2 linked regions of the Elephas maximus indicus genome follow. The main gene of each other region encodes a partner of the protein of the gene in region 2 in a complex. Links are inferred from orthologs where the notes say so. Each region holds a gene or a part of one and is shown on either strand. Other genes may lie near its edges.

Region 1 (7,821 bases), on a different chromosome or scaffold from region 2:
GTGTCCCCAAAGCCTTTCAAAATTCATCCTGTAAGTCCTCAGAGGTATCTTCTGGGGAGGGGGGAGGAAGCCCACCCTCCATCTTCCATCAACATTGTCAACCACTTAATAGTAAATTCTTCCAGTAAGCATTTAAGCACACTGGGCTCAGAGCAGTGGGCATCCCTGAAGCACAACAACCCGAAGAGTTGCTTTCCAAGACAGAGATTTCTAAAACAAAGGCAGGACGGAGACGTACACAGCTCATTCAAACTACCATGCAGATACAAGCACTGCCCCGAGATATACCAGGTATGAAATCGGGCTAGACACCTGGATCAGGGACACAAGGAAATCACGAACTCCACCCTGTATGCAGAGCACCATGTGAAACGTCGTACCCATGTTTCCAGTTTTCTAGGGTAAGAGTTGGCAAGAGTCAGGAACACAGCGAAGAAAAGACGGGGAGTCACTAACCAGCCCTCACCAAAGATCCTTGAGTTGCCGGGCAAGCAGGTAGGCCTCATATTCCTTCTACCCCATGACAGAAATAAAGAGGACAGGTGGTAAAACTGGGCACTTAAAAGAGGCAAAGCTGCTCTAAGCACTCTCACATGTATTAGCTCACACAACCTGTTAGAACTCCATAACAGTGATTCTCAAACATTCTGGGCTCCTGTGTTGTTGTGTGCCATCTAGTCAATTCCAGCTCAGGGTGCCTCTATAGGGCAAGGTAGAACTGCCCCATAGGGTTTCCAAGACAATAATCTTTACAGAAGCAGACTACCACATCTTTCTCCCACAGAGCAGCTGGTGGGTTTGAACCACAGACTTTTTGGTTAGCAGCTGAGAGCTTTGACCATTGCACCACCAGGGCTCCTCTGGACTCCTTTACACTCTTCAAAACTGAGGACACCAAAGTCCTTTTGTTTATGTGGGTTATAGTCATTGATATTTAGTGTACTAAAAATTAAAATGGACAAAATTTAAAAAATATGCACTATTTCTAAATAATCTACTACACATGAACATAAATAACATTTTTATGAACACTACGTTTCCAAAGCAAACACACACACACAAAATAATAGCGACAAGCAGGGCACTGACATTGTTGCATATCTCTTCAATGTCTGGCTAGGTAGAAGACGGATTGTCCTATTGGCTTCTGCATTCAATCTGTTGTGCTATCCCAGGTCTCCCGGCCTCATGAAAACTCAGTGCACTCAGTACACTGAGGTGAAAATAAAAGTCAAAGAGGCAATAACGTCTTGGCACTACTATGAAAATAGTTTTAATATTGGGGACTTCCTGAATGGTCTCAAGGATTCCTAGGAGTCCCCAGCCCACACTTTGAGAACCGCTGCCTTACGAGTCAGGAACAATTCTCATCTCCATTTTACAAATGGGCAAACTGAGGTATGGACAGTTCCAGGAACTGTCCAAGGTCATCCTGCTAGAACAGGTCAGTGCAGGCAAAACGCAGGGAGAACAATACCCGACCTCATCTAGATGTTGCAAGGGTTGAATGAAGTAATGAACATGAAAGAGCTGAGCATCCTTTTGATTTACCACAAGCGCTCGATAACATTAAAACCTCCCGTTCAGCTAGGCCGAACGGAAAAGCAAAAGAAACTTCGCACATTTCTGATCAACTGATTCATGACACCAGTGAGAAAAAAAAGACTCCACACCAGCTGCTGTTTCAAGCTTGGTGCCCACAGAATGAAAGCAGCCTTCTGCCAACTCAGAAACTCATGGCCTTTTTCCACCTTCCACTCTGCAAATGACACTGGAGAGCTGGGCACACCTGGGCACACCATCATCTTGTTCCCTGGGAAACGTGAGCAAGCCAAGAGAGCTGCTCCATTATTTACAGCCTCCTTTTTGCCTCATGCTGCATTTACAAGGAACCCTCAGCAAACAGTGGTGCCTAGCCAAGGCTCACCTAGAAGCCACCTCCTGTGGTCTTCTTGTCCAGGTGTCCAGCACGTCACCATTTTCCCTGCCCATCCACTCATAACTCATATGGTCCACCTGCCTCTGCATGTTGTGGGCCACAGAGTGCAAGTCACTTCTGTTCCTGGCATTTAGGAAGTGAGCTCACCTGAGGGAAGTGGGACCATTCTTCCAGCTTCCACCTTGATTCCCACCACCCCCCACACAACACACCTCACCAGCAACCAAAGGGATCTTTTTAGGGTATAGAACAAATAAGGTCAGTTCTCAGGCTAAAATCCTCCCAAGGCTCCCCACCCAGTTGGAATAAAACCCAATTGTTTATCCACACTGAGGAGGTCCTTCATAATCCGGTCCCTGCCTACCTCTGCCCCTGCATGCTCCTCTCTCTCAGGCTAGCCCTTCCCTCGACCTGCAGCACCCCTCTCCGACTTCCCTCCGACAGCTCAAATGTCACCTCCTCAAAGAAGCCCTTCCTGAATTTCCAATCTCTAAGAGTTGCCTCTCTACTCCTCCATCCCATCACCCCGAGGTATCTGAGACTTCAGGGCACTCTTAACTTTCGAAAGTTATCTTTATTTCACTTTCATGTTTACAGGTCTCCCTCCCTCCACACCTTCCTCCTAAGGTGTAAGGTCCAGGGCAGCAAGGGTTCCACCGGGGCCACCGCAACATCCCAGCGCCTGAAACTGCCTGGCACAGACTGTGCGCTCAGCGACCACTGACTGAATGAATGAAGCCGCGGCGCCGGGTGTCCCCGGGACCCGGGCAGGCGCCCCTCGTGCTCCCGCGCGCCGGCACCTTAGGGGGTGCGCGCGTCCCGGGGTGCCGAGCCGGGGCGGGGCGCCCTCCGCGCCCCACCCCGCCGCGCGCCGCAGGTGCCTCCCGTGGGCGCCCACTCCCCGGCCCGGGCTGCAGCTGCCCGCCAGCCCGCTCGCCGCACTCACCATGGTGGCCGGGCCGCGCCCACCCGGCGAGCGGCGAGCGCTGGGACGCGAGCGCGAAAGCGGAGCGCGGGAGGCGGCGCGGCAGGCAGGTGAGCGCCGGCCTCAGACCATGGCCGCTTCCCACAATGCCCTCGGACGGAAAGTTCGCCGGCTCCTCCCCGCGGCTCCCGCCCTCCCGCCCCTCCCATTTCTCTTCCTCCCCCCTCCTCCCTTCCTCTTCCTCCCCGCTTCTTCTTTTCCCTTCTCCCCCTCCTCTCTCTCTTCTCCTGCCTCCTCCCTCTCTCCCCCTGGCGAATTACCCAGGGAGCAAGGTAAGCACGGGTCTGCCTGTGCTTATTTACTAATCGGTAGTGTCCTGGGTAGTGTCCTATAGGGTCGCTGTGAGTCGGAATCGACTCGACGGCACGGGGTACTGGGAGTGACCGATTTCACCGCCGGTTTCATCTTTGATGTGATGAAACCTATGTGAAATTCACTACAAATTAGAAAATAAATACAAAGGTGTGGTGAAACCCATGTGAAATCGGTCACTACAGATTAGTAAGTAAGCACTAATTATCCCATGCTTACCTTGTTTTAGTGGGTAATCTGTCCCTGTCAAAAGCCTCTGTAGAACTCCTCGGTCCCTTCTTTTTTTCCTGGCCTCCCTCCCACCTCCCCTTTCCCTCCTCCCTGCCTCTTCCTCCTCTCCCGCCTGCCAGAGTCCTCCTCTTCCCGTCCTCCTCCCTTCTCCGTCCTCACCCCCCACCTCTCCCCCTCCCCCCTCTCCCCCCCCAGCTCTCTCTGCCCAGCCCTGCACCGGCTGCAGCAGGTGAGGATGCACCTGTTCCCTGCTTCTGCAGCCAGGCCTCCTCTGCAGCCACTCTGGAGGCCCAGACAAGCGAGAGAACTAGGAAGCCCCTAAGGGGAAGCGCCCTAGGCGGCTGCTTTTCTCATTCTACACCGCGAGTGTCATTCATTCATTCCACAAAGATTTACCAAGACATTTCTCTTACTCTTAAGAAAGTATCAGAGGCTGCCTAACACTAAAAAAAAAAAAGAAAAAAAAAAAAGCAGAGGGAAGGAGGGAGGGAGGGAGCAACTGTCAGAGTGAACTAGAAACAATTTCTACCCCACCCTCATTTCATCTTTTTTTTTTCTTTTCTTTTTAATAAAATTTGCAATCCAAGGACATAGGTCATTTTAAACAGGGCCCATTTCAAGAACTGCCCCATAGAGCTTCCAAGGAGCACCTGGTGGATTCAAACTGCTGACCTTTTGGTTAGCAGACATAGCTCTTAAACAAAAACACTACATCACCAGGGTTTCGATATAGAAATTATGAATAAGATTGAGAAGAACGGGAATTCCAGAACATTTAATTGTGCTCATGAGGAATCTTTACATAGATCAGGAGGCAGTTGTTTGAACAGAATAAGAGTATATTGAGTGGTTTAAACTCAGGAAAGGTGTGTGTCAGGGTTGTATCCTTTCACCATACCTATTCAACCTGTATACTGCGCAAATAATCCGAGAAGCTGGACTATATGAAGAAGAATGGAGAATCAGAATTGGAAGAAGACTCATTAACAACCTGCATTATGCAAATAACACAGCCTTACTTGCTGAAAGTGAAGAGGACTTGAAGCATTTACTGATGAAGATCAAAACCACAGTCTTCAGTATGGATTACACCTCAGCATAAAGAAAATGAAAATCCTCACAACTGGACACAACTAGCAACATCATGATAAACAAAGAAAAGATTGAGGTTGTCAAGGATTTCGTTTTACTTGGATCCACAATCAACACCCAGGGAAGCAGCAGTCAAGAAATCAAAAGACGCACTGCATTGGGTGAATCTGCAAAGGACCTCTTTAAAGTGTTGAAAAGCAAAGCTGTCACCTTAAAGACTAAGGTGCACCTGACCCAAGCCATGGTATCTTCAATCGCATCATATGCACGCAAAAGCTGGGCGATGAGTAAGGAAGACCAAAGAAGAATTGACACCTTTGAATTGTGCTGGCGAAGAATATTGAATATACAGTGGACTGCCAAAAGAACGAACAAATCTGTCTTGGAAGAAGTACAACCAGAATGCTCCTTAGATGCAAGAATGGCGAGGCTGCATCTTACATACTTTGGACATGTTGTCCAGAGGGATCAGTCCCAGGAGAAGGACATCATGCTTGGTAAAGTAGAGAGTCAGGGGAAAAGAGGAAGACCCTCAACGAGATGGATTGACACAGTGGCTGCAACAATGGGCTCAGGCTTAGCAACGACTGTGGGCATGGTGCAGAACCAGGCAGTGTTTGGTTCTGTGGTACGTAGAGTCGCTGTGAGTCGGAACTGACACAACGGCACCTAACAACAACAACAACACTTTAAGAGGTCCCACCTAAGATGTTTTGGAATGGAGGCTTGCTTCTGCAACTCTTCTGCTTGTCCTCTAGATTTTTCTTAAGTCATGGGGTTTTTACCTGGGGCTCTAGGAGTCTCCGAACTCCCAAGCTGTAAACAGAGTTTTGGAGTAATGTTATGTTGTTTGGGGCAAGAGAGTCTGTCAGTTTTATCGAATACCAGAAGAGATCCGCCACCCTAAAAATGTTAGGCTGGGTAGTCCCTGCCTGGTTGGTCCCTGGAGGCCAATATCTGTAAAGTCCTGCCCAAAGGGTCTGTTGAAGCTCCTTAACCTGCACTGCGGGCTAGCTCAGGTGACTGTGGATCCACCCCACATCTGTTCCACAAATATTTATCAGCCCTTACTCTGTGCCAAAGGAGCCCTGGTGTCACAATGGTTAAATGCTTGGCTGGCAACCCAAAGATCAGTCTGAAACCACCAGCGGCTCCATGGCAGAAAATCCTGGCCATCTGCTCCGGTCAAGATTTCATCCTAGGAACCCCTACGGGCAGTTCTACCCTGTCCTATAGGGTCTCTATGAGTCAGAAGAGGAGCCGTGGTAGCAAAGGGTTTACACACCCAGCTGCTAACCAAAAGGTCAGAGGTTTGAACCCACTAGCCACTCAGCACGAGAAAGATGAGGCAATCTGCTTCCATAAAGATTACAGCCTTGGACACACTATGGGGCAGTTCTACTCTGTCCTGTGGGGTCACTATGAGTCTGAATAAACTTGACGGGCACAACAGCAGCAACTCTGTGCCAGGCACTACAGGAGGCACGTTGGGGAGACATCTGGGAACAGCCCTACTCCTGGAGCTTATAGTATTTTGTGGGACAATAACTAATAAACAAGTAAATAAGTAATTACAAAGTACCATTGAGTACCAAGAAGCATAGCTTGCTGGAATAGACACCGGAAAGCTCCATATATGTAGCTGGGTGGTCAGGGAAGGTTGCTCCCTAAGGAGGCGACTTGACACCTAAGGTGAGAAACCAGTGCTCTGAAGCATAAAAGGAGAGTGTTCCTTCTCCAAGGACCCCAAAGAAGGCCTCTGTGGCTGGAGTTGTGTGTGAGGAGAAGGGCAGGAGCCAGAAGCAATGGGGCTCACCTGTGTTAAGCTGGCAGGTACACTAAAAGCCCCCAAGAAAGTGAAATCTTTCAACCTCAAAGTTCTGCAAAAGCCCAACTGCCTCCACGTGTCCTCGATTTTAATCCTTTTAGCTTTCACCCCTGGAGGTGTGGCATCCGCTGAGGGAGTTGGAAAAAGAATACCTGACAGTTAAGCCCCAGGCTGAGAGGTGATTTCACCTACTGAAAGATGATCCACAGATTATTGTGAATATAGGAGAGTGGCTTTCTGAACTCCAGAATTCTCCCCCGGGTGGGTTTTCCTAACTTAGTGCCTCCGCTCCCTCAGACCAGGGCCCAGCCTTGTCCCACCCACCTTGCTGATCTTCTGAAAAGCACCACAACTTTGTGCTTTGAGGGTTTTATTACTAATCGTGGTGAGAAAGAGACAGAGGATTACTAAAGGTGAGTTTCAACTCTAAAGAAATCTCAATGCTCTTACCATGATGGTTAAGAAGAGGATTAAAGCGTGAGAAAGTTCCCTCACTGTGTGGCCCCTGATGGGAGGGTTTTAGTGGAGAAGAGGAGAAGGTTTACTTAAAATCTATTAGCATTCTTTGCTTTCCCCCTGGCCTTACTGAGATGGTCAGAGAAGCTCTTGGGGCGTCTTACCTCCATGTTCTTCCCTCCAGCTGCTCACACCTCACCTTGAAATTGCCTGACCCAAAACAAGGAGGCCTACAATGGGCTGGATACTTCACATAGGTTATTTTATCTGGACCTCAAGACAATCTGTTTGCCCACTTTATCTGGGTGCGGCAAACAGTTAATACCCTCACTGCTAACTAGAAGATTGGTGGTTCAGGTCCACCCAGAGGTGCGTCAGAAGAAAGCCCTGGAGATTTACTTTCCAAATATCAGCTGTTGAAAATCCCATGGAGCACAGGTCTACTGTGACACACATGAGCCTGCCATGAGAACTGGAATCGACGCAACAGCAACTGTCGTGTCATTTTTTATCCCCATTATACAGATGTGAGTTGGAGATATAGAGGTTGCAAAACACCAAGGCTCAAACTGATCCTTCCTGAAGCCCCATACCTGGCAGACCCACTCAGGACACGAAAGTGGGTATATTTGTCTCAGTGGAATAACTTGCATCTTTATGTATCGACTTCCCCATTCCCATCTGTTATGGATTGAATTGTGTCCCCTAAAAATGTGTGTCAACTTGGCCAGGCCACGATTGCCCGTATTATGTGGTCGTCCTTCATTCTGTGATCTGATTTAATTTTCCCTTGTGTTGTAAATTCTAACCTCTATGATGTTAATGAGGTGGGATTAGAGGCAGTTATCTTAATGAGTCAGGACTCAATCTAAAGGGTTAGGTTGTACCTTGAGTCAATCTCTTTTAAGATACAAAAAAGAGAAGTGAGCAGAGAGGAGAGGGACCTCATTACCACCAAGCAAGAAGAGCCAAGAGCGG
Region 2 (7,361 bases):
CACGGGGTTTCCAAGGAACAGCTGGTAGATTCAAACTGTCGATCTTTTGGTCAGCAGCAGAGCTCTTAACCACTGCACCACCAGGGCTCCCCTCATAGGGATACAAGTACCAAATTAAATGATGTAAAAACATGCTTGAGAACAGTAAAAAAAAAAAAAAAAAAAGGATATGCATATAAATGCCTGCTATGATTATAACATCTTCAAATTCCCACATTTCACTAAAAGAACAAATTTTGCTCCAAATGTTTAGCAGTAGAAACCGAATGGCTTATGGTTGCTGAGTTGGCATTATATACTTTAAATCTGAACAAGTCTCCAGGAACTTTTCCATCTAAAGTTCCTTCTAGGGAACCAGAGTAAGATGTTAAAACTTAAGTATCTACGTTTCAGTATCTTCACAAGTGGAGCATACACCTGTTTTCACTACATCCTTCTCGAGGACAGGGATAGTATCTTAGCCAACACTGTAGCGGCAGTAACTGGCAAAGAGACTAGCTCTGTGCTTAATAAATATTTCCAGAATAAAAGTTAAAATCATATGTGAGGTGGAAAGCGTTCTGGCCCTGAGACTTACTCTCATGTTATAGATAGCCTTCTAAAAGTCCCTCAGGCTCCTGAGCCTTCATTTCCCTTTAAAAGCCTACAACGGAAATCAGTAATGCCCCTTTTATATAATGGCAGACATCCACCTAGAATACTGCAAATAAGGCCTCTGAGTCCCAGGCCTATGAGTAGCAAAAAGAAATAAAAATTTTTGCTCCTTAAAGCATACGATATATACAGCACCATGGCCATCAGAATACTTAGCACAGGTTTCTGAGGCTGGCCGTAAGGACTTTCATAGTTCAGTGATGAGAATTAAAACGGATATACATTTTTTGGAAATTTAAATATACCAAGAGGCTTAAGAATCTTGAACAAAGTATGACATGTTTGCTAGATGTAATTTGTGATGGAAATTAATTTTATGAAGTGAAAAAGTCAGCATAAAAATTACATATGAAATATAATTTGAATTATTTAAAAACAAGTATGCATTAGAAGAAAAACTGGAAGGAAATGCACTGAAATGTTAGCAGTGTTTGTGTTTGGGTGATGAGACTATGACATTTTCTTTTCTCCATATGCTAAATTGTACTTAATGAGAATCCACTACTTTTACAAAGAAACATTACGTTAAAAAAAAAACAATGGGAAGGAGCACTTCTAAGAGGTAAGGAAATGGCAGTTAGTTGCCATTTAATAAGTGCTATAATTAAAATTTTACCCTAGCAAGGAACATTCTAAGTGATCACAAACGATAACTAAGTCATAGAAAATCTGTGCTGGAGGGACATCTGCCTGATTCTAACATTTGGTAGGTGTAAAAAAAAAATAAAATTGTAGGATGCTTTATACAGCTTACAAAGTGCTTTCCCAAATGTCACCTCACCTTTCTTTCAGATAACCCTGCTAAATAAGTACATTTTAAAGTTTAGAAAACTGAGGGTCACTGAGATAATATGCTTTAATAACAACACTGCTGTTGTTAAAAATGCCATCAATTCCCCATGCACAATGGGGTCAGGCCGCTATGATTCACGGGGCTTTCATTGGCTGATTTTTTGGAAGTAGGTTGCCAAGCCTTTCTTCCTAGTCTGTCTCAGTCTGAAAGCTCCGCTGAAACCTATTCAGCATCACAGGAACCCGTTAAACCTCCAGGACAGATGGGCAGTGGCTGCACTGGAGGTGAAGCGGCAGGAAATTGAACCCAGGTCTAAATGAAGCCCAACAATCTTGTAAATGATGGATTAATTGTGCCCATTTTATAGATGAGAAGACTGAAAGGCAGAGGTTAAGTGACCTACCCACAATCATACAGCTAAGAGTCAGTGCTCTGACACCACGCCATGGATGTGAAAAAGGTGTCTTGAGTTACAGCCAACTTCACAGGGCCCTTCAGCGGCAGAGTTGAGCCTATGATCCGTGCTGTGCTCTCTCCAACACAATGGTCTCTTCACTTAGGGTTTAAGACTTACTTAATCTGACAACCAATATGAGGGTCCAGAGGCGAAGGGACTAGGCTCAGAAATACTCTAAAACTAATATTGGTGGAGAACCTCAGAAGGCAAAGCAGGGACTAACCACATAGTAAAGAGTACAAGAACAAGTCTTGCATACATCAAGGGTTAACCTAGTAATTGAACACACACGAAAGTCAGAGGAAACATACTCCCTACCTCAGGAGCCGGGACAGCAATAAAAGCCACAACTGTATCAACAGTCTCTGCACCTTATACTCGTGTAGCTCAATACAGTTTCCAGAGCGTCTTTTATGGTCTTCATCTCACTGAATCCTCCCAACAGCCCGTGAGGTGGGCTGGGCAGGGATCAGTCCCACTTTACAGATGCTGGAAGTAACGCAGTAGTGCACCGGGCAGGCAGAAAAGCAATGAGTTTAAGAGTTACAGGGTTGACACCTGGGGGCGTGGGTAGGGACCTCGACAGAAACTGAGAAGAACCTGGAGAGCCTCAGGCCACCGCCGAGGACCTGCGGCGGCGACAAGGTCCAGGTTGAGGCCCTGGTCCTGTTGCCCACCGAGGCTTGAGGGGTTGAAGGCCGGCCCAGCCGCCTCGCTACTCACGTTGGACCAGACGGTCCCCGGTAAAGGTGGAGGAGCAGCTGGTGACCAGCGCACAGGGGACGCCCGCGGCCATGGCTGCGCTCTGGAGCCGGTTCCGTCCAGGAGCCGCTTCCGCCTTGGGCTGTACCACAGCCGCCGCCGTGCGGGGGAGACACTCAAGGAAGGGCGCCATCTCGGAACGGATAGGCCGCCCCGGCTCCTTCCTCGCTCCCCTCTTCCGCTCCCGCGGTAGAATAGGCCGGGCCGCGCATAGCGTTGCCATGGGGACACACGCCCCTGGCCGAAGGTTTCAGCGCCTGGAGATGGCGCCTCCGGGGGGGAGGTTACTCTCCCCGGCCCTGACCATGGCTCAGGAGACTGAAAACTACGACCCCATTGGATCCATCTTAATCCAGGTGGGAAATGGGCCTCTCCCGGCCCCGCCCAGCTAAGACACCTGGGAGCGAGGCCCAGCAGCGCCGCTTCGCGCGCGTCCACTCGTTTGGGGCGCCGCTCCCAGACTGCCTTCAGTCCTCGAGGGCCTCAGCCCCTGAGAGAACTCCCAAATATGCCCACCCAGACCTCGTCCAGGAGCCCAGCACCACCCCTCAGCCCCGTGCCATACACTGGAGGTCGCGTTCCACAAACTCTGCTCCTGGTAAAACCCCAAGGCCGTACACTGTAGATCACCTCACCCGGAACGTTTACAGCAAAAAAAAAAATCCATCTTGCACTGAGACACCGTTTACAAGTATTATGTTCTGAAAAATTTGAAGCCATGACGTCAAATTTCAGAATTTTCTGAAATGGTTAAGGCATTTTATTGTTTGTTTGTTCGTTTTTCACATTTACCTATCCCAGTTCTAAAATGCATCCACATGCATAACGATTTTTAACTCTTAGATTTAGCTCCATTTGAATAAGGCTTGAAGTGATTTGCCTACGATCATTCTATCAGGATTCTCAGATCTTCAACGGGTTTACTTGTTCTTCCAGGCAGGATTTTGGTCTCTTACCTCCCATCTGGGAGAAACTTTCCTAAATTCACCTTTTCCAAAGTACGAGCCTTGGGACTCAACCATTTCATAGACTTCCCGATTGTGAATCATGCCCAAATTCTCTTACCTCACTCTTATCATCCTCTCTTTCACCCAACATCCCCTATAAACCCGGTCCCCATTTTTACAGACTCCAAACAGTTGAAACACTAATGGAAACTCTTGTCCAGAAACAGCCAGTTCTTCCCCATGAAGTATACTTCATGTTGACTACAGGAACAATTAACTTTCTCTTTAGTTTCCTCTATTCCTCCAGGCCTAGAACATCTCTAAAAAAGAGACAAGAATCTGGGGGAGAATCTTCCAGACCTTCTGCAGGCCAGTTTCACAGCTTCCCTTGAGATAATTGTATTTCCCAGGGCTGCTCCCCTTGTGGTTTGGTATTGTGTACAAGAGTGCTCTAGCTGAAAAGCCAGAAGCCTTTTCACTTCAGAATGGAATCCAGAGGGAGCTGTTTGGTCAGCCCAGGATACATTACAGTAATCAATGTCTGTTGACACTGAATTGTAAAATGCAACAGAGGAGCTAAGTAAGAATAGTCACGTCCATGTGGCTCAGTGCCCCCACTTACGTAAAAAGGTTACTCAGGACTTGGAAAGTGAAGGCCCATGTAAAGAAAGAGAGCCTATGTGTTAGCCTGATTAATTGAGGCTGATCTCTGCATACAGTGTAGAATTCTTTCTGGTAATACATAGAATGTGTATAATGAGAAAATATTGGAAGACTTTCCCCTACCCTCCCAAGGAATCCTGAGTTTTTGTGAGCATACCGCATCACTCTCAGAAGGGGCAGATTACACTTCTACCTGGAGCTGTAATTGATTTCCTTCAAGCAGGCTGACAACAAGCAGTAGTTCTAGTGGAAAGTGTGCTTGTTTGGGAGTCAGAGTACTAAGGTTAGACCCCTGGCTCTGGCACTCCGCAGCTGGGTAGGCCTCAATTTCCTTTTCTGTAGGATACATAGCTTGGATTAGACTCATTTCTTACTCTAAATTGACCCAATTTCTCCAAAGCTATAAAACGGGCTTCCTTTACCATTAACCTAGGCAGTCAAATTGTTTCTGGCAAATGTATATATACAAGTTGTTGTATGCCATCAAGTCAATTTCGACTCATAAGGGCCCTACATGACAGAGTAAAATGGCCCATAGGGTTTCCTAGGCTGTAATTGTTATGGGAGCAGATTGCCAAGTCTTTTTTCCTGTGAAGCCACTGGGTGGGTTTGAACCACCGACTTTTGGTTAGGAGCCAAGCACTTAACTATTGTGTCACCAGCATTCTTTATATATACAAATAATTGTAAATCACAGGTACTTTAAATCTCCACTTGCTTCACCCTAATATGGTTTATTAGGTCTGTGTTTCAGTTAAATAACTCTTTAGACCAGTGGTTCTCCAGATGTGGTTCCAGCACCAGTATCATCCACACCAGCTAGGAACTTGTGGGAAATGCAGATTCTCAGGCCCCACCCCAGACCTGTGGAATCAGGAACTCTGGGAGTGGGACCCAGGAATCTGTACATGCTCTTCAGATAATTCTGATGCACACTCAAGTTTGAGAACCACTACTTTAGATGGCATTGTAAAATATAAACTGTAATATAATTTCAAAGGAAAATTGCAGTAATCAAAGCTAACAAAGTACTTAAACCGTGTATCATGCAGTATTTTAAGTGCTGTAAATACTGTATTTTAACTCCTTTAACCCCTACAACAACCTTGTCAGCTATGTACTATTATTATCATTCCCATGTTATGAAAAGGAAACTGACCAGAGTTGTTATTTGTTCAAGGTAACACAGCTAATAAATGGTGGAGATTGACCCTAGGCAGAAAGCTCCGTTACACTATCCTGCCGTTTGTGAGTAATGTGGGTCACCCCGTATGCATAAAAAATACAAGCATTCTTCTCAAACTTTTTAAATCCATCATTCTTGGCATAAAAAGAAAGTCTTCACTTGCCCCTTTTCAGTCCTCTAAATAGCTAAAGCCTGCCTTTTCCACTACATTTTCACCAGCCTTTGACTTTAAAAAGGAGCCCTGTTGGCGCAATGGTTAAAGCAATTCACTGCCAACTGAAAGGTCAGTAGTTCAAAACCACCAGTGGCTCCACAGGAGAAAGATGTGACAGTCTGCTTCTATAGAGATTTATAGCCTTGGAAACCCACTGTGGTTGACTCGACGGCAGTGGGTTTGATTTGGGTTTAACTTTGTGTATGTTGTTGTTGTGTGCCATCAAGTAGATCTGACTAAAACCAACCCTATATGACAGAATAGAAAAGCCCCATAGAGCTTCCAAGGCTGGTGGGTTCAAATCACCAACCTTTTGGTTAGCAGCCAAGTGCCTAACCGTTCTCCCACTAGGGCTCCTTAACTTTGTACATCAGATGCTTATTAATACATCTTTATTCTGAGAGATAGCATAATGGTTAAGCATGAAGGCTCTGGAATCAGACTGCCTCGATTTGAATAGTTCCACCAATTAACCAGCTGTGTTACCTTGCATGGGTTACTTAACCTCTTTAAACCTCAGATTCCCTCATGTATAAAATGGAGATAATATTAACTTCCTCATAGGAGTCTTGTAAAGTATAACATTCATAAATGTTAAACACATAAATATGCGTAATTAGTAGATCTGACCTCTTGCCCTTTTGTATTATTTAGTTTTGTGTAGGTACATTTCTGTGTCTTTTCAAGTTTAGGCTGCTTTTTACTCTTAAGTCCCTAGAAGATGAGGAAGAATTTATTTTAACTTGCCTTTTTAGCCAGAATTACTCCATTCTTAATTGGAACTCTACGTATGGGTGTTGCTATTTGGCCAACAAGGTATGCCTTGTCTCCCTATTACAAGCTGGGTTTTGAATATCTGATTATCCCTAGCTCAGGAGTGGGCCCATAGACACTAGATGACTGGATAATGATCTGCTCCTTAATTCAGTCTCCAGTCATTTCTGTTCTGCTCAAAAATGAATGGAATTGGACTAACATTTACCATTATTTAGAAAAACCTTTTTTTAATTAAAAAAATATTTTTTTATTTAGATGGTACAAATTAATAGTGAAAGCAATACTTTGAGAAAATGTCTGCAAATTGTGTACAAATAAACTCTTTGTGTGACTCATTTTGAAAATATATTCCTTGTATGTTTAGATTTCTGGGATAGTTCTGATGGTGCATATTCTGTTCTACTGTCAGATCGTGTATCAAAGTACTACATATTTTCATTTATAATTCAGGAAATATGATTTCCATTTCTACATAGAGTTCTACTAGGCAGCATTTTGTTAACTACTTAATATCTTATCACTTTCAAGTCTCCCAAGCCTATAATTCAGGCTTTTTATGATTTTATATGGATCTTTCCTCAACTAACCAGAATAGTGTGGTTTTTCTATAGTGATAATAAAAAATAAAAAACACCAAACCTGTTGCCCTCAAGTCGATTCTAACTCATAGTGACCATATAGGACAGAGTAGAACCGCCCCATAGGCTTTCCAAGGAGCGCCTGGTAGATTTGAACTGCCAACCTTCTGGTTAGCAGCCAAACTCTTAACCACTATGCCACCAGCGTTTCCATAATAATCATCACTAAAATCGACTCAACAGCACTGGTTCTGGGATAGTTAAAATAGCCAACATTTCTTGAGAGTCCGGCACTGTATTGAGAACTTTAGATTATTTTATCAGGTCTTA

What was found. Proteins that work in one complex are often made in the same cells at the same time.
Region 1: the proteins of AAGAB (region 2) and AP1S3 are in contact, whole or in part, in a crystal structure (PDB 9DDT), measured with the Homo sapiens proteins. The link is inferred for Elephas maximus indicus from reciprocal best matches to the Homo sapiens genes AAGAB and AP1S3. Residues at the interface, in NP_078942.3 of Homo sapiens: Asn51, Lys52, Tyr53, Tyr54, Glu108, Val109, Met110, Ile111, Gln128, Ile132, Gly135, Phe136, Glu137, Asp151, Phe153, Pro154, Glu155, Arg161, Gln164, Ala165, Asn167, Ala168, Asn169, Val170, Met176; in NP_001034658.1 of Homo sapiens: Arg10, Gln11, Lys13, Arg15, Gln37, Leu40, Ser41, Arg61, Tyr62, Ala63, Ser64, His85, Val88, Asp92, Phe95, Val98, Glu100, Leu101, Asp102, Ile104, Phe105, Asn106.

Annotation. Positions count from the first base shown.
Region 1 is NC_064824.1:122,530,441-122,538,261, forward strand, and holds the start of AP1S3 (AP-1 complex subunit sigma-3), read right to left. Parts: upstream 3,009-7,821; 5' UTR 2,889-3,008; coding exon 2,886-2,888; intron 1-2,885. UniProt on the Homo sapiens protein: Subunit of clathrin-associated adaptor protein complex 1 that plays a role in protein sorting in the late-Golgi/trans-Golgi network (TGN) and/or endosomes.
Region 2 is NC_064831.1:57,335,343-57,342,703, forward strand, and holds the start of AAGAB (alpha- and gamma-adaptin-binding protein p34), read right to left. Parts: upstream 2,930-7,361; 5' UTR 2,890-2,929; coding exon 2,628-2,889; intron 1-2,627. Other genes in the region: IQCH (IQ domain-containing protein H), read left to right, coding at 2,930-3,022. UniProt on the Homo sapiens protein: May be involved in endocytic recycling of growth factor receptors such as EGFR.